4 linked regions of the Oryctolagus cuniculus genome follow. The protein of the gene in region 3 interacts with the protein of the main gene of each other region in a pairwise test. Links are inferred from orthologs where the notes say so. Each region holds a gene or a part of one and is shown on either strand. Other genes may lie near its edges.

Evidence for each region.
Region 1: the proteins of TRIM69 (region 3) and NEK8 interact in binary tests that used the Homo sapiens proteins (3 or more experiments, as listed by UniProt). The two-hybrid records come from large-scale screens. The link is inferred for Oryctolagus cuniculus from reciprocal best matches to the Homo sapiens genes TRIM69 and NEK8.
Region 2: the proteins of TRIM69 (region 3) and IYD interact in binary tests that used the Homo sapiens proteins (3 or more experiments, as listed by UniProt). The two-hybrid records come from large-scale screens. The link is inferred for Oryctolagus cuniculus from reciprocal best matches to the Homo sapiens genes TRIM69 and IYD.
Region 4: the proteins of TRIM69 (region 3) and ASNS interact in binary tests that used the Homo sapiens proteins (3 or more experiments, as listed by UniProt). The two-hybrid records come from large-scale screens. The link is inferred for Oryctolagus cuniculus from reciprocal best matches to the Homo sapiens genes TRIM69 and ASNS.

What each region holds. Positions count from the first base shown.
Region 1 is NC_091448.1:44,230,070-44,234,866, reverse strand, and holds the end of NEK8 (serine/threonine-protein kinase Nek8), read right to left. Parts: intron 4,689-4,797; coding exon 4,624-4,688; intron 4,541-4,623; coding exon 4,359-4,540; intron 4,278-4,358; coding exon 4,127-4,277; intron 3,768-4,126; coding exon 3,691-3,767; intron 3,358-3,690; coding exon 3,240-3,357; intron 3,120-3,239; exon of another isoform or gene 2,886-3,119; intron 2,724-2,885; coding exon 2,573-2,723; intron 2,413-2,572; coding exon 2,249-2,412; intron 2,149-2,248; coding exon 1,990-2,148; intron 1,807-1,989; coding exon 1,648-1,806; intron 1,282-1,647; coding exon 1,253-1,281; 3' UTR 822-1,252; downstream 1-821. UniProt on the Homo sapiens protein: Required for renal tubular integrity. May regulate local cytoskeletal structure in kidney tubule epithelial cells. May regulate ciliary biogenesis through targeting of proteins to the cilia.
Region 2 is NC_091436.1:17,495,787-17,501,639, forward strand, and holds part of IYD (iodotyrosine deiodinase 1), read right to left. Parts: intron 5,308-5,853; coding exon of another isoform or gene 5,214-5,307; exon of another isoform or gene 2,131-5,213; intron 2,125-2,130; coding exon 1,968-2,124; intron 1-1,967. UniProt on the Homo sapiens protein: Catalyzes the dehalogenation of halotyrosines such as 3-bromo-L-tyrosine, 3-chloro-L-tyrosine, 3-iodo-L-tyrosine and 3,5-diiodo-L-tyrosine.
Region 3 is NC_091443.1:67,651,541-67,657,393, reverse strand, and holds part of TRIM69 (E3 ubiquitin-protein ligase TRIM69), read right to left. Parts: intron 5,092-5,853; coding exon 4,858-5,091; intron 3,412-4,857; coding exon 3,389-3,411; intron 3,303-3,388; coding exon 3,178-3,302; intron 1-3,177.
Region 4 is NC_091447.1:38,575,091-38,580,943, reverse strand, and holds part of ASNS (asparagine synthetase [glutamine-hydrolyzing]), read right to left. Parts: intron 4,172-5,853; 5' UTR 4,136-4,171; intron 3,540-4,135; 5' UTR 3,517-3,539; coding exon 3,268-3,516; intron 191-3,267; coding exon 1-190.

The sequences.
Region 1 (4,797 bases), on a different chromosome or scaffold from region 3:
CGTGCCCCGCGCTAGGCTGGGGCGGAGGGCCCCAGGGGAGTGCGCGGCGTAGCCAGAGACGACGGGCCGCTCCACAAAGGTTTGCTTCTCCGCAGTCAGCAGCCCGGCCTCAGGGGCCGTGCGCCCCCCAGGGACCCGGGCCCCCAGCTTCCAGGTGCTAAGCAGCTAAGCCTGGCAACCAGATCCGAGGAGCCCGTCCGGGGCGAGGAGGCTGGACTGGGCGCTGGGCCAAAGGAGCCTCTGTCCCAGCCCCCGGCTGCGCCCACATTCCTTCCCCGGCCGCGGCCCTGCAACCGCGGCCGGGCCCAGCCCACGTCTTGTGGTGTGTGGCTGCCACCCACCCCACCTCTGAAGAGAGCACGCTGCAGGCAGGCAGCGGATACTTTTATTCAGGCGACTTCCAGTCTACCGGGAAACTGGTCTGGTCCAGCCAGCTCCCCTTCCCCCCTCCACGTGGGTCTGGGGAAAGGCATGGGGTGAGGAGGTGACCTCTGCAACACTGGGCGGCTCCCGCACTCCCGCAGGGCTAGGGAGGCCTCGCAGGTTGTGCAAATCCCTGCTGCGGGATAAGGAGTGGGGGCGGGCAGCAGCTCCCTCCGAGCTCCCAGCCCCAGGCCAGCCTAAGGGCCAGTCCGGGCTTGCCCTGCTCCCAAGCTTGGAGACCATGTCCCACTGGGCAGCAGGGGCTCTCCTGGCTGGAAGAGGGGAAAGGCCTGACTGCAGCCCCACCAGCCTCCGCCTGCCAAGGCCCAGGAGACCACCCAGCTCCCCAGGGTCTGACCCCAGGGGTAGACTGAGAAAAGGGGTGGGGGTGGCTGAGGTTCGGGTTTATTGAAAGATTTATTTATTTGAAAGGCAGAGTTACAGAGAGAGAGAGGTCTTCCATCTGCTGGCTCACTCCCCAAAAGGCAGCACCAGCTGGGCCTGGACAAGGTGGGAGCCAGGAGCCTGGAACTGCATCCGGGTCCCCCACGTGGGAGGGAGGAGCCCAAGCACCACTTCTGCTGGCCTCCCAGGCGCATGAGCAGGGAGCTGGATCGGAAGTGGAGCAGCCGGGGCTGGAAATGCTGCTCACATGGCTTTGCCTGCTCCGGTTGGGGTTCCGAAGCAAAGCAGGACTTCGCTGGCCCTTCCGCCCCTCTGATGACAGCCCAGGGGTCTGGTGGGGACAATCATGCCGCAGGCGCCTGCACTCTTCATGACTCTTGGTGGAGAAGCCAGATCAGGGTGGTCCAGAGGTGCATCCAGCACCTCAGGGGGGCACGGGCTCATCCGTGACAGCTGGAGGGTACCAGACAGAACCCCCTGCAGCCTCCCGGAAGGCGGTGCCTCCAGAAAGCATTCCCACCACAACCCCCGCCCCGCAGGGCCCTGCCAGGCCAGAGCTGGAGGTTCAGAGCCTCTTGGACCCGCGGGGTAGGAGGAGAAGGAGCACACAAAAGCCCTGGGTAGAGCACACAAAAGCCCTGGGTAGCGCCCACCAGCACCCACTTCTGGCAGGAAGCTTGGTCTTGCCCCACAGCTTCTGGGAGTCGACGGTGTGTGGTGTGTTTGGTAGTTTGGGCTGTGACTGCCTGCCAGGAATGGGAGTGTGGGCAGGGCCCCCCTGGGTTAGCCTGGCCTGGGTGGGGGGGAGTCAACACTCACGCCGCACAGCCAAGAGTGTGTTTCCGTGGCAGCAGGACACGGAAGTCACGGTGTAAGGGTGTGTCTCGTCCAGCTGCACCGGCCGAGGGAGGCCGGCATCCTCGTCCCTCCTTCCCAGCCGGCCTCGGGCTCCCTTGCCCCAGGAGTACACCTCACCCTCTGCCAGAGAAAAGCCCGAGGGAGAACGTGGGAAGGGGCACACGGCCCAAGCAAGCAGCTCTGAGCCCAGCCTACCAGACTGGCCCCGGGGGGAGCTGGCTGAGTCCAGCGGCCCTGAGCGTGATGTCCTACACTGCCTGCCAGGCTCTCCGTGCCAGTCTGCCCGCTGTGCCCACCCCTCACCTGCCCCAATGGCTACAGTGAAGGCATCGCCACAGGCCACCATCGCCATCCTGATGCCCTCGAGGCCTTGGACCTGACAGGGTGCCCGGCCGCCCCGGCCAGTGCTGCTGCCCAGCTGCCCGTGCTGATTGCTGCCGAATGTGTAGCAGTGCCCCGCGGCTGTGGAGGGAGGGGGCAGGAGAGCAAGGGAAGGCGCCTCAACAGAGGCCCTCTGGAAGCCAGGGCGCCCCCCACCGGCCTCCCATGCACGCGTCCTCACCAGTCACAGCAGCTGAGTGCGCAGTGCCCAGGTCCACACTCAGCAGGGGCTCCCGGTCCAGGGGTGCAGAGCCTAGAGGGGTGAAGCTCAGGGCCTCCTCCACTTGCTGGTGGGGAACGGGATCCTCCCCCAGGGAGATGTGGTCCAGGCCCAGCTTATTGAACCTGAAGGCAGAGCCAGAAGGCAGATCCAGACTGCCCGCCCCCAGCTCTCTGGGCAGGGGCTGCTGCACCTGCACTGGGCCAAGCAGCATCCTCAGCCCCTCTCAGCGTGGTCCTCGGTGGGCGGCAGAGGCTGGGGAATCAGCCCGGTGCACCTGCTCACCTGTTGCTCCCACAGGCCAGAGCTTGGCCAGGCACAGTGAGGAGCATGGACGAGTCGATGCCACATACAATCCGCTGGGCTTCCTGTCCTGGGGGCAGGGGCACCTGCTGGGGGCAGCTGTGGGACTCCCTGGTCCCCAGACCCAGCCTGCCTACAAGGAAGGAGAAGGCGAGATGGGGTTAGTTCGCACTTCAGCACTGGGCGGGGCCCAGAGAGCAGGCTGTTCCCTGCGCCTCAGAGGGCCTTGCATGGCGCTGCCGTCAGCCGGATCCTCCCTGAAAGCCCTGTTCGGATGCCCCCTCTGTCTCCACAGGTGACTGCTGCTCCTGGAGCTCCTACACCTGAGCCTCGGCGTGGCCCCGATGCTGTCTGACCTGTGGCAACGCTGCAGCTGTGCCATCTCCACTAGCCCGAGTCCTCCAGGGGACAGGTACCCACCTGCGCCACCGCTGGAGTTAGTGCCCAGTGCGCCTGGAGGAAGCCACATCTTGTTCATCTGGCCCCAGCACCCAGCCCAGGGTGGACCCACAGTGGGTGTGTGACCAAGGTGTGTTGAAAGAATAAATCGGAGAGAAAAGAGGGAAGACAGAATGGAAGGGGGAGGCGGGGGTATGGGAGGGGGCTGGGGGACGAAGCTTAGGGGCTGCAGCAAGGGTGGAGACCTTACCACCATCTCCGCGGCCCCAGGCAAACAGTTCTCGCTCAGTGGACAGGGCTAGCACGTGAGAGGCCCCGCAAGCCACCTGCACCATCTCATAGCCCAGCAGGGCCTCCACAATGGTGGGCTAGAGTGGGGGAAGAAGCAGGGGGCCGGTGGTCAGGACTCGCCCCCAGGCGGCAGCACCCCCAGTGGGGATGAAATTGGAGCTTGCACATTTTCAAGTGCTGTCTCTTTAACTCCAGCTGCACACATGCTGCCAAGCAGGAGGCGCTCACTGGCGAAGCCTGGTCTTTCTGTGCTTCCGCTGATGCCACCAAGAGCAGGTGCAGCCTCGGAGCCAGAGGCACCTGTGCTGCTGGGGACTCCCCTGCCCCAGTGTGGTATCGGCTCTCAGATGTGGGCCGTTTGCCATCCCCCTACTTCCCCTTCCCCAGGGCGAAACCCACAGGATCCCCACCTGGCTGATGTCGGTGAGGCTGCCGTGGCCGAGGCACCCGTTGCTGCCGCTGCCGAAGGTCATGATGATGCCGCGGTCTGGGCAGGAGGCAGGGAGGAGACAGAAGGCAGAGAAGTTAGACCAGTCCCACACCTGTGGTTTGGAGGAGCAAGACGAAAGTTGGGGGCTAGAGCAAAAAGGATGGGTGAGAACAGGCCAGGGGGCTGTCTTCTCAGTGTATGACTTCGGACAAGTGGCAGAATCTCTGAGCCTCAGTTTCTCCACCTGTCAAATGGGTATACCATAACAATGCCCTTGCCAAGCCCGTTGTGTGGGGTGACAGAGATGGTGTAAGTAAATCTCAACGGCTAGCAGACAGAAAGCACTAACTCAACAACTAGGAGAGAAAAAGGTTAGGTGAGCAGTTTGCAACGAGTGAGCTGCTCTGTGGGCTCACCGGTCAGGCAGGCCGTAAAGAGGTCCCCACATGCCACGTGCTTGATGGTCACGCCCGACTGGCCTTCCAGGAAACGCGACACGAACTGGGGCTGCGGCTGCTCCACCGCCCCGGGGAGGAGGGCGCCTCCCCCAGTGCCGAGGGGCGGGGCCTGCGGAGGGAGGGGGCGGCGCCTGAGCACCAGCAACCTCCCTGTAGGTCCCCACTCTGACCCCTTCCACGCCCTGCTCACCTCCCAGAGGATGAGGCGCCCAGAGCGCGTGACGCCAGCCTTCTGCGTGCGCCCAGCCGCCACTTGCACCACCTCCGTGTTGAGCATGGGCAGCCTCAGGGGGGCGCTGAGCCCGCTGCCCCAGGCGTACACTGATGACAGTGGTGGAGGAATGGCCGGCCTCCCGTGTCCTCGAGGGACGCCTGCAGAGACAGCGAATGGAGCCCATGAACCCGGTGGGAGTTGGGTGGTGTTGGCCAGGACTCAGCAGCCCGCCCGCACTCACCCCTGCAGCGGGCACTGCTGCTCCTGCTCCCAGAGGGCCGCCCAGTGGCCAGGGACTTCTCTGCCCTGTGGGACCACAGGTCGGGGCTTCAGGGCACGGGCCCTCACAAGCATTCCTACATGCTGGCCCCCAGCACCCCTCCACCTCGCGCCTCCTGTGCTCCCTTTTGCCCCC
Region 2 (5,853 bases), on a different chromosome or scaffold from region 3:
ATCATCATCTACCTTGATTTCCAGAGTTTTACAATGCCTCAGCTACCGTTCTCAAGAACATAGGCATGAAAAATATATGTCTTTCTTCTTCCTCTACAGGCTAGGATCAGCTCTACTTCATCATGGTGTGTCTCATCCTTTATCATATCTGCTCATATTGTTTGAATTTGGAATGGGTAAATCGTGACCTTCTCATTGAGAAAATATTTACATCTTAATTCTGTGTGATTTTATATTTTGATCCTCCTTGAAAACACAGCTTTTGTTCTATACTGAATTTTGGATGTCTTAGAAATCTGTGAACATACAGAACATGTTAGATAACCCTTCTCTTTGAGATAACTTCTTTTACTATTGCATCTTCCACTCTCTCGGGATGCTAGCACTTTGATCTTCTGACAGATCAGGAGTTCTTTAACCTGAAATCCTCAGATCAAAAAGGGTCAAAGATAGAATTCAGCAGGTCTGTGTAACACCTATGACTTTGTCACAAATAAAATTCACAGATATTTCATATCACGTTACAATCGTTACAGATATTTTGAAACATCATCATCGTCATCATGATGTTTAAAATTGTAGACCTACTGTTAGATCCTGGAATTTAATGCACTGATCAAGGCCTGCCTGTTTTATTCTAAATAACAGCAATAGCCAAGCGCTTCTGTGACCGTGGAGCCAGCAGGGGAAGCAGCGAATCACGGTGAATGAAAACACCCATGCCCAATCAAAAAGGACTCAGTGGCTACGGGATGCACCGGGGATAAAGGAAATCCCCCACCAATCTCTCCCCAGACCTCCAAATAACGAGCATTTGGGTCCAAAGTGAGGCTTCCAGGCACTTCCCCGGCCACCCTTCTCCAGGAACCAGCAAGAGGCCCCGGAGCTGCCCAGTCCTGCAAGGCCAGCTTATTCCCGTCACACCCTATGTAAGGAGGGGGCTACCACAGTGTTCTCCTCCCTCTGATCACAACTTGCCTCAGCAAGCGCTAGAGGGCAGCAGCGAGCCGAGCTCCCAGGGAGCCCTCGCTGCTCCTGGATGGACCGCGGGACCTGTGGCCTCCGCTCGGGATCCTTTGTTCACCTACTCACAGGTGCAGTTAGGAAGTAGATGCCGGTCATCTGAAAGCACGTGCCTCTAGCGGTGGCTGTGTCCCCGGGAGCTGCTCAGCCGACACACTTGTCTGAGACGATGAAGCAGCTCGTATGTGTCGGAATGGACTGGCCCTCGAAAGTAGGACCACTCGCGCTGATAATCTTCGCTGCTGTGTTTATTTTGCGTTTTTGCCGTCTCTCCACCCCCAGCCCTGACTCCAAAGCCCTGCAGAACGCTCAGTTCACCAGCAACCCCTGGGACCGCCGCACGGAGGGAGCTCCGAGAATTTCTGCTGCGCGAGTGAATCGAATGGCTTGCGAGGCCCATCTGCACTGTGCTCTATCCCATGTTAGCGTTGCTCTCACCGCTGTGCAGATAAGAGGAAAATGCCAGCCCGTAGCTGTGTTAAGTCATACAACGCCAAGTCAGCGTGTCAGGGAAGGCGCTGGAAGACAGTGCAGCCCCACTGCTAGCTTTGCCATCGTCCCCTCCCCCGCTGCAGGGGGCGGGGGGCAGTAGACACGGGCAGGGAGCGAGTCTCGGGGACTTTCAGCCTCTGAAGCTCTTGTGTGTCTGCCGAAGCCCTTGAAGCTGCAGGTTGTTACAGATGAGGGCAAACTGAACGACGATCCTTCGGACCCGAAATGATTTTCCAAGTGAATTTCCAAGAAGAATTCCAGCCTGTTGGACCCTCCTCATCACCCACCGGGGTCTCCAGCATTAGGAGTTTCTCCGGCATTCAACTTTGCATAAAGTTTCCTAACATCCCTGATTTGGAAACTCTGATGAAATGTGCTAATAGGGCCACCATAGTGCCCCTCCACTCCCAAGTCCTGTTTCTCCCCCGTGGCGCAGTGGGAGGGAAACATACCTGCAGGGCAGCTAGCAGGATGCCACAGGCGATGGAAACGCTGATCTCATTGTAGTAGTGCACCTTTTTCTTGCCCTTTGCAGTAAAGCCATGTACTTGTTTGAAAATGAGAATCAGAACAGGGGCATCGTCCAAGTAATCTTTAATCCAGTTGGTTCTGGTTGGGGAGGGAAGAGATAATGGAGAATATTGGCTGTTGCTCTCTTCACTGCCTTAGTTTACTTACGATGAAAATAAAAATGCATGAACTTGCTGTTTATATTTAGGTTGAAAAAAAAAAAGAACAGGATTTTCGTTTAGGTCTTGTTCATCTTCTGCTGCCCAAGAGCATTGAATTGATAAGGGCCCAGCATGCCGTAGCAGGAAGCTGTCATGGGGTACATGGAGGACCTCTGTAGCCCAGAAGGCACTGTTCACAGCCCAGAGAAGCCTGCCAAGTGCTGTCAAAGCAACACAAACCAAGTGCATCAGGAGGAGCCCCAAACTGAAACACTAATTTTGAGGAAGATTGGGAGAAATTTCTAGAAAGTGACTTCAAGTCCGGGCATTGAAGACCTGGGGTGGGGCTGCAGGAAGATGGGGACGGGCACCCCAGGCCTTGAAGGTGGTGTTGCGATAGAGAATGCGCAGCAGGTCAGGCACTTTTCGGAGGGCTGGAGGCTGTGCTGCATGCTGGGGTAAGGGGGGCTGGCCCGGGACACACCCATCTCCCAAGGGTCTGCCTTCATGGGGTGGGCGATGGAGATCTGTCACAGCTTCTGAGCAGAGGCCTCCTAGGATCAAATCTGGTTCAAAAAGAGGCGGATCCAGTGGTATGGGAGAGGAACCAATGACAAAGTCATCCCAGTGGGAGAGACACCACAGGAGACCCTGACAAAGGCCCTGCAGGAGGGTGGGCAAGGAGAGCCTGGAAGGGGAGAGACCGCAGAATGCAGCGCAGGAGCAGGCCGGGGGAGGCTAAGAAGACTGAGAGATTGAACTGCAATCCCAGGGAGAAGGCAGATGCTGCTCGCCCAGGTAGGGGAAAGGAAGGGAACTCCTGCGGGAACAGGAGACGGTTTACATGAGACACAAACACGGAATTGAAATTGGTGTTTTCTAGCTCAGAACATGCATTTTTTTTCTGTTTCCCATTAACCTGTGCCATATATTTTAGTGGAAGTTTTATTTGCTCACAGGTATTCAAAGGAGCGACAGTCTTACAATCCTATTTTTGGAATTTTTCCTTAAGCTCTATCATGCCATTATTTAGCAATAAATGGTCACCAATCATTTCGTGTTTACCCCATGCAAGTTTCTCTTCTTTAAAACATACTAAGCTCACGTGTGCATCTTTCTGGGATTCTTCTTACACTAGTGAGATCTATGTCACATCTCCAAAGCTGCCTTTACCATCCAGCCAGCTCAGTCCCGCTACTCGGTTGCCGAGTCTTTTCTCCCCACAGAGAGAATGGGAATGGGTTAGGAGGTCAGCTCTGGAGCTGCACTTGCAGGGCCACACTGGGGCAGCTCCTTGGCCTCTCAGGATTCAGCTTCCTCATTCGCAATCGGACTATCGTTCTCCCACTTGTGGGGTTATTGTAACAGTGAGAGAAGTTGCATGTACACAAGGGGTCTCCAAAGAGTTCACAGATAATGCATATGATGAAAAGCTATGCATGGATTTCAAAATTCTTGGCACCAAAACAAACTTTTAATTTTCTGTGAAGATTTTGAAGTCTGCTTCTATGTAACAGTTTTTAACACCACAAAGATCAGAATTTCAAATCTTGGAAACATCAGTGCCGAAGAACCAGTTTTAATCCACTTTCCTGACTCACTCTCCAGCCCCACCCCCTGCAGGGCACACCTTTAGCACGTGGAGCAGACCATGGAGGTTGCTCTGATGTCCACCCAGCCACCCACCACCTAATGCTGCTGCCCCAAGGCAGGTGGATGTCATCAAGAGACTGCTGTGCATGTCCCAGACCAGGCTGTATTACATAAACTTGTATTCTCTATGATCTTTCCATGATTTAAAGTTGTAATTTTTGCGTTATTGCTTTGTATAAAATGTATATTGATAGAGGGAGAGAGAGAGAGGAAATAAGACAAATTTGCAAAATAGGAGGTGAAAATTAAATAAGCAATTTGCTTATATTCTAAGGCAGGTCAATTATTTTAGAATTTTGTGCTAATTTACTTTACCTAAGCATGCACTGATATTTGAATTTTGGTTCATTCAGTCGTATAAGAATTCATTATGACATATTAGAGCTAATACAAAGACAACAAAGAATTAATTCTGTTAAAAGAAGGACTTGTTGAAGCCCCCACTGTGGTACAGTGGGTTAAAACCCTGGCCTACAGCACTGGCATCCCATATGGGTGCCAGTTCTAGTCCCAGCTGCTCCACTTTGGATCCAGCTCCCTGCTAGTGCGCCTGGGAAAGCAGCGGAGGATGGCCCAAGTTCTTGGGCCCCTGCACCCATGTAGGAGACTCAGAAGAAGCTCCTGGCTCCTGGCTTCAGACAGGCTCAGCTCCAGAAGTTGTGGCCATTTGGGAAGTGAACCAGTGGATGGAAGACCTCTCTCTGCAACGGTCTTTCAAGTAAATAAAATAAATCTTTAAAAGAAGAAGGAGAAGGAGAAGAGGAGGAGGAGATAAAGAAGAAGAGGAAAAGAAGGACTTGCTAACAGTTGCACCTCTGATGGGGGTGAGGGCTCCTGCTGGTAAGATGGAGATGTAAGATTGGAAAGGGAAGCTGGATCTGGCCTGAGTCTCTAGCAACAGTTATGGGTTTCAGAGTGACTGAAACACTGACAAGGTGCATGACCATTTGCAGTTCCATTCAACAAGCATTTATTCTGTTATATACTGTGTATCAGCATGGCATGGGTGGTACAACGTGAGGCTTTTTAAATCCAACTCCCTGGACCCAGAGTTTGTGTGTGTGTGTGTGTGCACATACACACATGTATATCTGTACGTATGGTTGCCAGAAATAGTCTATAACTTAATAGGATTCTCAAGGGTAACTTGTTGTACAACACAGATTTCTAAAAAGTTGCCTATAAAATGAGAAAAAAAGGAAGCAAGAATTAAAGTGCTATGAACAATGGAAGTGGTACATGAGGTGCTCTGGGCACAGACGAGAGAGCAATTAGCTGTTGAGGAAAGTAAGGGGATGAATTGGATTCTGGAGGGACAGTTCATACACAGAGTAGGACTTCTCTCCAAGTGTAGAAACGCAGCTTGACTTTTATCTACCCCAGTTTCTCCCATGAATATTCAATAAGGTTAGCAAATCCATCGTTAATACCTCGTCCTTGTTCCACAGGTTGGTAATAAGTTACAGTTCTGTAAAACATCAATTTTGAGAGGGTTTAAATATCTTAGGAGAAAATTGTACCCTGGGGTCAAATGAAGGAAAAAGAGCTTACCACTTCTCACTAAAACACTGGGCAGGAAGTCCTGCTGTGCCCCCAGGACTGCCATCCCATCATCCTGTCCCTCTCTCTAACACTGGGCAGGAAGTCCCGCTGTGCCCCCAGGACTGCCATCCCATCATCCTGTCCCTCTCTCTAACACTGGGCAGGAAGTCCCGCTGTGCCCCCAGGACTACCATCCTGTCTCCCTTTCTTAGTCACTGGGGAGTGTTGCATGGCAGGTGCCAGAACTGGCCACAGGAAACCTCTGCTGAGTCCTGGAGGAATGAGGTGCTCCACATTCCGAGAGCCAAGGACTCGCACTCCCTCCCTCAGGGCCTTCTAGGAGGCCAGAGCCAGTGGCTCCAAGCACCAACCCTCCTCACGCGCAGCCTCAGTGGAGCTTGGGCAGGGAAGGAGATCGCCTTTGAGGCCTCCCCCACCCCCAGTGAGAGGAGTCACACTAGGGTCTACCACA
Region 3 (5,853 bases):
TTGGCTGATTCATCACATTTTTCCTGTTGGTATTCTCTACAAGAAACTCCATTCTCTCCTTCTCCTGGAAAATCTCTTATCAATAGCTTCAGTTACTGCACTATTTCTAGGTCTTCACTTATTCTGCAGGTTCTATATTAGCTCCTTCTCTATCAGGTTTATACATGAGGCTGTTGCTTTTCGGAAGAAACTAATATTTTTTCTATAAGGGCTCAGATAATTAGTATTTTAAATGTTTACATGTTGTATGGTCTTTGTTGGAACCACTTAACTGCCATTATGGTGAAAAAAAAAAGTCACAGATAATATGTAAATGAATAGTCACAGATGTGTTCCAATAAAACTTCGTTTACAAAATAGGCAATAGGCCAGATTTGGCCTTTTGGCTATAGTTTGCCAACTCCAAATTAGGCAATCACTAAATTTAAAATATTTTAATTTATTTCCTTTAGTTTTGTGTTTATCAAAAAAAAAATCATCAAAATTCACTCATTCAGCATACTCTTATAAGGGGCCCACTATGTGTTAAACGTTAAGTTGGGCTCTGAGAACACAGAAATAAAAGATGTAGCTTCTGCTCCAAAGAAGGAGAACTAGAAGACCAACTCAGACTCTGTAATAGCCATCTAGGTGAAAAATTAAGACCTAAACCAAAGAGTGACAATAAGGATGGAAAATACAGATTTTAGAGATGGAATTCTAGGAACTGAAATGTATCAACTTGGATTCATTATTAAAATGTATTAAATATAAGATGTTATTTATAGGAGAACCTGGGGAAGGAGTGTGTGAGAACTCTCTGTGCTACCATCTCAATTGTTCTGTAAAATTTTAAAATTGAAAAGTGTTCTAAAAAATTAGCCCCATTAAAAAGAAAAAAACAGTACTTGCCATGCAAAGCAGCAGGAAAATATGACCAGTCAGGAGAAAAATCAAGCAGTAAAAACAGGTCCCAAATGATAACAATGATGGAATTAGCAACAAGGACATTAAAACAGTTATATCTTCCATCTGCTCAAGGAAGGTATGAGTACAATGAGGAGAGAAATGGAAGACTTTTATAAAAAGACCCAAAATGAAACTTCTAGAAATTAAATGTTTATGAAATGAAAATATCTTGAACAGCATTAATTAGTGCAGAAGAAAAGATAAGAGAACTTAAATAGCAAAAGAAACTATTCAAATGAAACACACGAATTAAAGCTTAAGTAGTGAGAATCAATGACATGAGACAACCTGACAATATCAAATTATCTAACATACGTAAAATCAGAATTCCAGAAGGAGGGGAGACAACAGGTATGGTAAAAAAAAAAATACTGGAAGAAATACTAGTAGATATTATTTCAAATTTGATGAAAACTACTAGCTCATAGATCCAAGAAGCTCAATGAACCACAAGCAGAATAAATATAAAGAAAATTACAACAAAACTCAGCATAATCAAATTAGTATATGCAAGTAGCATAAAAGCAAGTCTAAAAATAGACTCCCCGGGGTCGGGGGGAGATACAGTATATACAGAGAAATGAAGTTGAGGATGACTGTGAAGGGGCATGTGGGAACTTCCTGGGATGATGTAAGTTTTCTTTATCTTGATTATAGGGATGTTCACATAAGCGTATATGTCTGTCTAAACTCACCAAACTAATATACTTAACTAGTAAATTTGGGGTTGTCATTGTGACACAACAGGTTAAGCAGCACTTAAGATGCTGGCATCTAAGAGGTTGGTGCTGTGGCGTAACAGGTAAGGCCGCTGCCTGCAGTGCCGGCATTCCATATGGGTGCTGGTTCGAGTTCTGGCTGCTCCATTTCCTATCCAGCTCTCTGCTATGGCCTGGGAAAGCAGTAAAAGATGGCCCAAGTCCTTGGACCCCTGCACCCGCATGGGAGACCTGGAAGAAGCTCCTGGCTCCTGCCTTCGGATTGGCTTAGCTCCAGCCTTTGTGGCCAGCTGGGGAATGAAGCAGCAGATGGAAGACCTCTCTCTCTCTCTCTCTGCCTCTCCTTTCTCTGTGTAACTCTGACATTAAATACAAAAATCTTTAATAAATAAAATAATAAAAAGAAGATGCTGGCGTCCCATATTGGAGTACTGGTTCGAGTCCCAGCTGCTCCACTTCTGTTCCAGCTCTATGCTAATATACCTGGCAAAGCAGCAGAACAAGCCCAAGTGCTTGGGCCCCTGACACGATGTGGGAGATTTGAATGGAATTCCTGGCTCCTGACTTTAGCATGGCCCAGTCCTTGCCATTGCAACAATTTGGAGAGTCAATTAGTAGATGAGAGACATACTCCCTCCCTCCCTTTCTCCCTCCCTCCCTCCTTTCCACTCCCTCTCCTTTCCTCCCTCCCTCTAGATCTCCCTCTCCCTCTCTCTGTCACTCTGCCTTTCAAATAAGTAAATGAATAACTCTTTTTTATTGGTAAATTTTATTCTGTTGTTTATACTTCAGTAAAGGGTTTATTTTCCCCTGTCAATTCTCTGGAAAAATTTGTAATTTTCTTGGTCATAATTAAATCAGTAATTATGACAATCATGAAAATGGGTCTAAATGAATTCTGTAAAAACATTATTTAGAATTTTGTTTCTAGAAAAGATTTTCTTATAAAGATTTTTTAAAAACTTATATAGTGTTCTTGGAATGCCATCTATGTTATTTTGTCCTCATTCTTTTGGCATCCACAGGAACACAAAAACTTAGCATCCTTATTAGGCATATTTATTCAAATTATTGGTTTCCTACTGAAGATCTCTGCGCAATATCCTAAGATGTTCTACTCTGTGCTGTGACCGTCAAGCACAAAGAACCTGTAAACATCCCATGTGCATATGGAGAAATATGTGCAGAAACTTCCTTCCCCAGGGCAGAGAAGCCTCAGGGATTTATGGAGGTATTTTTGCAAGAGGACAAAATTTTGGCCACATTTAATAGAACAAACAAAATCATAGGCTGGGAATAAATTCTAATATCAGATTCATCTGTTAACTGATACAAAGCCATAAGTTCTTAGGTATAACTCCAAAAGAAGTTCAGTCATACCAACTAAGTCTCCTTTTGGCTAAACTCCATCTTTCTTCCCGTACCAGAGTCTAAAGACCTAATTAGGGCCTCAGAAGAGTCTCCAGGAATGAAGCATAATTAGGAGTCCAGGTCGCTACCCACTTGATACCTGGAAGGATGGTGGACTGCATTTCCCTCCATATCATATACTGGATGGGACCCTTGAACTGGCCTGGGTTCAACTTTCTGGAGATAAGGTCCCTGGGTGTCAGCACCTTCATTCCTTGCTCCAAGCTGAAGGGGAAATAAATCATTTATTTGTAGACATTCTCCAGGAGCTGAAGAACGGGCAGTAAGAGTACCATGGGGGAAACACTTACCTATCCAAAAGATTTGTGATGTCCTAGAAGAGGAAAGGAGAAATAGACAAGTCAGACATCTGTTCATCAACTCCAGAGACTCCTTTGGTGATTTGGCCACCACTAGAATTTGATCATCACCTGCTATCCTATGTAGATAGGCCCCCTCTCCACCAACTGCTTTCATCCTCCATATGCCTTTTCTGGTCTGCATCCCTGATCTCATCCAGGATAAACTGACCTTACCTTGTCTTGACTTTCTAGAATTCCCTTTTATAAAGGATAAGAGGGAAATCAATAAGACAGTAAAGTTTAAGCTTTTCTTTTTGTTGTAACCTATCCTTTCAAATAGTATCACCAGAAAATCCAGTCCAAGCACACTTTTCCTTCTGGCTAACTAAACTTCTAAGTGCTGAATTCTGTCAACTTAGAAGTGAAACTTTAGGTAGCAAAATTTGGCAAATAACTTTTCAAATATGTCACCTTATGATTGCTGAACCCAAGTCAAAGATACAAATCAAGCTGCAAACATTCTTATGTTTAGATATAAAGCTTTAAAGTTGGTTAGGGAGAAATACTAAACCACACTGTTATTAATGGCATTTTTTTAAAAAATGTTAATTTATATTTGAAAAGCAGAGCAACAGAAAGAGATCAAAAGGTAGAAAGATCTTCTATTTACTAGTCAGTCCTCAAAAGTCTGCAACAGCCAGAGCTTGGTCAAGCCAAAGTTAGGAGCCAGAAATTCCACGCAGATCTCCTATGTGGTTGGCAGGGACACAGGTACTTGAGCCATTATCTGCTGCCTCCCAGGGTACGCATTAGCAGGAAGTTCAGTGAAAGTCAGAGTCTGGACTCAATCCCAGGCACTCCCATATATGCAGGAATCTCAAGCAACTGCCTAACCCTCTGTACCACAGTGTCCCACACTATGAATGAGTTGGTTCTTTTTTTTTTTTTTTTAATTTTTATTTGACAGAGTTATAGACAGTGAGAGAGTGACAGAAAGGTCTTCCTTCCGTTGGTTCACCCCCAAGATGGCCACTACGGCCAGCGCTGCGCCGATCCAAAGCCAGGAGCCAGGTGCTTCCTCCTGGTCTCCCACATGGGTGCAGGGGCCCAAGCACTTGGGCCATCCTCCACTGCACTCCCGGGCCACAGCAGAGAGCTGGACTGGAAGAGGAGCAACCGGAACTAGAACCAGATGCCCATAAGGGATGCAGGCACTGCAGGCGAAGGATTAACCAAGTGAGCCACAGTGCCGCCCCTATGAATGAGATTTTATTATCTTCTTTTTCTAGGAGGATGACAGTAAACCCATCTGCTGAGCCAAAAACAAAAGTACCTTCCTGCTTTATTCCCAGAAAGACTTAAAAGCACTAGAGTAGTTTCACTTTGTTTTTCCCCTAGTGAAAAGTCACTTCCACATCCTCTTCAGCCCTCTTCCTCCCTCTGAGTGTACCTGCAGTCGCGTTGGGGTGGAGCCTCACCTTGAGGAAGTCGAAGGAGTTCTGCTGTTCCATCCGTACCTGAATGCTAACCAGCATATCCTTGGCCAGGAGACACTGCTCCTGAAGCTGGTTCAAATTCAACTCCATCTCCTCATTCAAGGTTTTGCCCTCTTCCCGGAGCTCATTTAGAATGTCCTTTTCTTTGCTGTGCAGGAACTGATGCAGCTTTAGAAACTCCAAGGACACATGTTGCTGTAGATGTACCTTGTTTTCCTGGAAACCTCCACGATCATCAGCATGGTTATTACTGAGACAAGGACTTGGGGACAGGGGCCCACACCACTAATGCCCACTCAGCTTGAGAAAGATCATCACAAGCAAAATGCATACAGTGTCAACATTCATCCATATTAAAAGGAATCTTTTAGGAGACTTACTCCTTCTTTCCCAGCTAGTTTAGTGATTCAGGATGGAATAGCAAAAGTGTTCCTATTGCAGCACTAAGATGGCAACCAATGCCGTATTAAATAAACTTGTGAAGTTCATCAAACATCCTAGAATGAACAGTAACCTCCAGATTGGCAAACCAATATCTACCAAGTTGTGCTGTTAGATTGGGATCATAAGGGGGCTTGAAGAATTGCCCTTATCTGGGACTGGAGGGGATGCTATTCCTGCTGTCAGAACAATATAAAAGAATCAGGTTCTGAGCAATGTCTGAAGCACTAAAATTGAAAATTGCTGCACATGAAGCTCTTTTCTTGAGTGACCTCACCATCCTCACATATGAACCATCTGACATCCTCCTGGCTTCTTAGTTCTTCATCCTCCTCATTTCCAATGATTTCCAGCTTTATCCACTCATTCCCACTGTTATAGTGGGGGTTTTACCATCCCCAGTAATTGCACCATCTCCAAAATAACTTTTTCTGCTCCAAGCTCACTTACTCAGGGGCCCCTATTGCAGCCTTTACTGGATCTCTTTTATACCTCCTATGCGTTGACTCCTCCCTCTCTATTCAATTTCTCTCTTTA
Region 4 (5,853 bases), on a different chromosome or scaffold from region 3:
TAAACAAAGGTCTGACGCCGTAAGTGTCTCGACCCAGGAACACTTTCTTATTGGCCGTATCCAGTAAAATAAATGCGAACACTCCGTCCAGCATACAAATTGTCTGCTCAATTCCTCCTTTGTCGTAAAGATGAAGGATGATCTCTCCATCCACTTTGGTCTGGTATTCAAATTCAAAGTGATGTTGCATCTTGAGGAGGCAACAGCAAAACAAAACATTAGAATCCTCGTGCATTCGCTAGACGTTTTATGCCGAAGTAACCTCAGTGACTTCCGTGCTCAGTGAGTCTTGTATGCACTTCAGTGATTTGGAAGAATCAAGGCTTTATCAAAAACAGAGCTTGTTTCATTTCTTACAACACAAAGCCAAATGGTGAACCTTTCAGTTGCATTCTGAAAAGGAGAATGCATGGTAACATACCAGAAGAGTGACACGTGGAGGGAAGCATGTGCCTACCATACACGGCCATACGAGGCAGGTAACATGATCCACATATAAACGTGTGTTAAGAACATAGGTTGCCACTCAAAAGGTGTCTTCTGCGATTGTAAACTTCTGGTTTGGGAAACAGCATAAGCCAAGGTTCTGCCAATTCAGCCTCAAACACCTACCCATGAAAATACAGAGCACAGGGATACAGAGAACTTGGCAACATTCCCTGAAAAATAAATGTCCCAGCACAATGGCAGACACGTGGTCCAAGACAAACGTGCTGGTCATCAGGGGGAGGTCCTTCCACCCCCACTTCTCACGGACAGACAAACTCCTAGTGAAGCTTTTTCAGCCCAAGCCCCAGCGGAACAGCAGAGGCTGTCGCTGACGCCACACGCAGAGCAGGTCCCAGGAAGCTGCACCCAAAGCTCTGTGGCTCTCCCCTGCCCCTGCCAACCCTGATGAGCCAAGGCCTCCCTCGTCCTCTTCGTACTTGCACTCAATGTTTTCAGTTGAGGCTGCAGACAAAAGAAGTTCATGTAAAACCAACTGAAAATCCTGGATGAGGTTGAGCCTCTGCCTGCAGCACCAGCATCCCATACCGGATGCTCCACTTCTGATCCAGCTCCCTGCTAATGCACCTAGGAGGGTAACAGAAGATGGCCCAAAGCTCCTGGCTCCTGGCTTTGGATTGGCCCAGCTCCTGCTTGCAGCCATTTGGGGAGTGAACCAGTAGATGGAAGATTTCTCTCTCACACTCCCTGTGTAAGTCTGCCAAATAAATTAAATGACATCTTAAAAAAAAAAAAATTATTGGGACACTTGGGAAAATTTAAATACGAACTAAATGTTGGAAGGTATTATAGTTCTTAGGTTTAATAGTATTGCTTAAGTAGAAAAAATGTGCTTGTTCTTTGAAGATAAATGCTTACATGTTGAAGGAAAAGTACCATAATACCTGCAACATACTCTCAAGCCCAAGACTGAAAGTGTGCACACAGAAACAGAGAAAAAGCAAATAGGGCAAAACATTTAGGATTGGTCAATCCAGGAATTCACTGCTCTGTTCTCTATATTTGAAAGGATTTCCACATTGAAAGTTGGACAGTGGTGATAAACAAAAAGGAAACTGTCAGCCACAGATTTAAATTTTGTTTTCTCATGAAACACTAGCCAAATAATCCGATTGGAAGTTCCTTTGGTTCCTAGGGTCAGAATTTCTTTACCCACCACCCACACTTTAAGCGGAAGCTTTCGCCAGATGAGAGGCATCTGTGATCCCAGTGCTACTGCGAGTCTAACTTGCTGCAGGCCACCTTTCTGCCCTCTGGCTCTGATCAGTGAGGTAGGCGGATGCCGGGAGATCTCAGTGGCAGCATTATATAAAAGCTGTAAGCATGATCATCTCCAATATCTCCCTTAAAGTCCTCAACTGCCACCGCTCTTAGATGGTATTCCCATTGCTGACCATGGCTACAAAGACTTGCTTAGGGGGGCCAGCACTGTGGTGTAGCAGACACAGCTGCCGCCTGCAGTGCCACATCAGGCTATGGTTCGTGTCCTGGCTGCTCCACTTCCAATCCAGCTCCCTGCTAATGTGCCTGGGAAAGCAGTATAGGATGGCCCAAGTCCTTGGGCCCCTGCACCCACATGGGAGACTGGGAAGAAGCTCCTGGCTCCTGGCTTCGGATCAGCCCAGCTCCGGCCACTGCACCCATTTGTGGAGTGAGCCAGTGGATCTCTATCTCCTCTCCCCCACCCCCCTGCCACTGCCTCTCTGTAACTCTGCCTCTCAAATTAACAAATCATTTTTTAAGATTTTATTTATTTATTTGAAAGACGAGTTACTGGGAGGCAGAGAGAAAGAGAGAGAAAAAAAGGTCTTCCATCCCCTGGTTTACTCCCCAAATGGCCACAATGGCTGGAGCTGCACCAATCTGAAGCCAGGAGCTAGAAGCTTCTCCTGGGTCTCCCACGCGGGTGCAGGGGCCCAAGGACTTGGGCCATCCTATACTGCTTTCCCAGGACATCGCAGAGAGCTGGATTGGAAGTGGAGCAGCTGGGACTTGAACCAGAGCCCAAATGGGATGCAGACACTGCAGGTGGCAGCTTTACCCACTACACCACAGCGTGGGCCCCAACGAATAAATCTTAAAAAAAAAAAAAAAAAGAGCTGCTTAGTGGCCCTGCTTCCACTTAAGCTCAGCCTTCCCACCTGCCTACTGCTCACTGCACTCCCAGGGCTGCCGCCCACATCGGGGCTTCCACATGCTCTTCCTGCTGCAGGAAGTGCTTCCTGGCCTCATGAGCTGATCCTTGACTGCCAGGTCTCAGCCAAGCGTCGCTTCTCCACGAGGCTTCCAACCACCGTTCCTCACAGTGGACCTCCCCTGCTCAGCAATTCTGCATTCATTCTTCCAGAACACCCGTGGCATGAGCAACGACTCTCCCTCTGTCCCCGGAGAGAATAATCTCCTCCGGCAACTGACAGCTCTCATTTGCCCCACCATGCCCAGCCCAGAGCAGAGGACAGTGAGCCTAGCACGGCCCTTAGGTAATATTTATATTCCTAACAGAAAAACATATTCTGAGAGTCAAAGACCCAAATGGTAACTTCAGTTTTTGTGGCTTCTATTTTGTGTGTGTTTGTGTGACCGACTTCTCTCTTGGTGTATCAGTGCCTTGTCTATCTGTATAACTGAAACAAATGAGATAATGGACAAGAAAAGGGCTTTGAAAGTAGAAGGCATCACACGGAGCGTGTAATACTATTACGACCAAGTAGCTCTGAGGTTACATCCCCTCCAGACATCGCCTGCTTTTAACTCGCTTACCGCCTTGTGGTTGTAGATTTCTCCATTGTAACAAAGCCACAAATAAGGGTATTTCTTCACTCGAATTGGCTGCATTCCAAACAACTGGTCAACCACTGCCAACCGATGAAATCCAAAGCAGCAGTTGGTGTAGCCATTGACATTCTCGAAACGAAATGCATCTGGACCCCTGTGTGCGATTTTCATGGCACTCAGACACTGCACAGACAGGCAGTCGTCACTGCCAAAGAGGGCCCAAATGCCACACATGGTGCAATGGAGCTACGGGCTTTCTATGGAGAGAAGAGCAGGACAAATGCTCAATATCCAGTCCGAATCTGCATTAAGCCCTGATGCCAGAAACTTGCATAACACTCCCAACACTGAGACAAGCCACCTTATCTATAGTGATTTTTCCATTAGGGTGGCAGGATCACAAGAGTAGAGAATGACTTCATTTACTTACAAGTATTTAGAAAAGATGAATAACCTTTACATCCAACCAGCTACACAACAGCTTGGCAGCCACCACAGCCTGTATCTCCCCGACTTGGGGATTTGGTGTTTGGTTAGAACAGGCAGCACGCAGGCTGTTCACGTTCTGCATCCTGAGTCTGCCCCCAAGGGCTCAGGTCAACCTGCAGCTGACTCCAACCGGAGCCCAGATTCAACTTTCCCCACCCCAAAATCTCAAAATCTTTCAAAGGTGGAGGAGACTCTGCACCTTACTTGTCTTCTCTTGGGTCTCCTTGACAATGTAATATGCCCTTTCTTTCCCTGGACAAAGCGTAGGCAGAATATAGTGGGCAGACAAGAAGAACATACACACTGCCACAGGGGAATATTAAGATACAAAGCCCTTACAAGCATTTTGCAATGTCTAGCTTACCTCCAAGTGATCTGTTCAACTGTGACGATCCAAAGTCTAAAGAGAAAAAGAAAGCAATGTAATGAAATACGTGTGTAACAAACAAAACATGTTGACAGAAAATACAAAATGTTGGGTATCCAAATGTCCTGGCGTGGGCATTTGGTGCAGTGGTTAAGATGCAGCTGTGAGGGCCCGCGTTGTGGTGCAGTGTGGTTAAGCCGCTGCCTGCAAGGCCGGCATCCCATTTGAGTGCCAGTTCTAGTCCCGGCTACTCTGCTTCTGATCCAGCTCTCTGCCAATGTGTCTGAGAAAGCAACAGAGGATGGCCCAAGTGTTTGGGCCCCTTGCCACCCATGTGGGAGACCCTGAGGAGTTCCAGGCTCCTGGTTTAGCCTGGCCCATCCATGGCCATTGCAGCCATTTGGGGAGTAAACCAGCACATGGATGATCTCTCTCTCTCTCTCTCTCTCTCTCTCTCTCTCTCTGCCTCCCCCCCCTCTAACTCTGCCTTTCAAATAAATGAATGAATCCTTTTAAAATAATAATAATAATAATACAAAGATGCAGCTTTGGACACCCACATCCCAGTTCAGAGTGCCTGGGTTTGAGCCCTGGCCCTGCTTCACATACCAGCTTTCTGCTAAATGCACACTCTGGGAGGCAGCAGGTAATGGCTCAAGTACTTGGGGTCCCTGCCACCCAGATTGAGATCCTGGCTCCTGGCTTTGGCCTGGCCCATTGTGGCCATCTGGACTGAACCATCAGATGAGAAATATCTCCCTGCTTTTCAAATAAATAAATATTAATTATTAAAAATGTTCTCGTCCCAGGACCAGCATGGTGGCCCAGCAGTTTAAGCTGCTGCCTACGACATCGGCATCCCATATCAGAGCACTGGTTCAAGTCCCAGCTGCTCCACTTCCAATCCAGCTCCCTGCTAACGCTGGAGAAGGCAATGAATAATAGCCTAAGTACTCAGGCCTCTGCCACCCATGTGGCAGACCTGAATGGAGTTCTAGGCTCCTGGCTTTGGCCTGGCCCAATCCTCACCGTTGTGGCCACCTGGGGAGTGAACCAGAAGACAGAAGATCTCTTCCTCTGTTTCCCTCTTTCTCTCTATCACTCTGCCTTTCAAATAAATAAATCTTTAAAGCAAAACAAAACAAACGCATGCTCTAAATGACAAAAATGTTCTCAAACATTTCTGTCTCAAAGTTAGCTTGCTCAGTAAGAAATCAAGGTAGCTCCTGCACATAAATGTAAAATTCTTTAATAAAGTAAAAGAAATCTGAAAAAAAAAAGAATATTCAGAAAGTATAAAAAAATCAAGGTAGGCAGGACATACACAGATGCAGCAGCCTTAAAAAGCGACTCAGCTCATCCCTGTAGACCAAGAAGCAAACAACAAATTTCTATAAACATTAATTCCTTTTCAATTTTAAATTCTAAGCTGTGAAATAAGAAGCAACTGTATTTGGATGCTATCAGCTATTTTACCAAAATCCATGCCTTGGAAAGTAACTATTCTGGCATTTTCAAAAATTGCCAAGTCTTCATCAAATGCCTAGATAATCTGGGGAAACTCTAAAGAGATTGATTGATTTATAGATTTAAATCTATATATAGATATCTCACTAGAAGCAATCCTTGGAAGCGATTTCATTTTTGTTATCTGAATGAACCAATGCTCTGGCTGGCCTTTCACTAAGACCAAACTGAAGTTATGGAAAATTGTG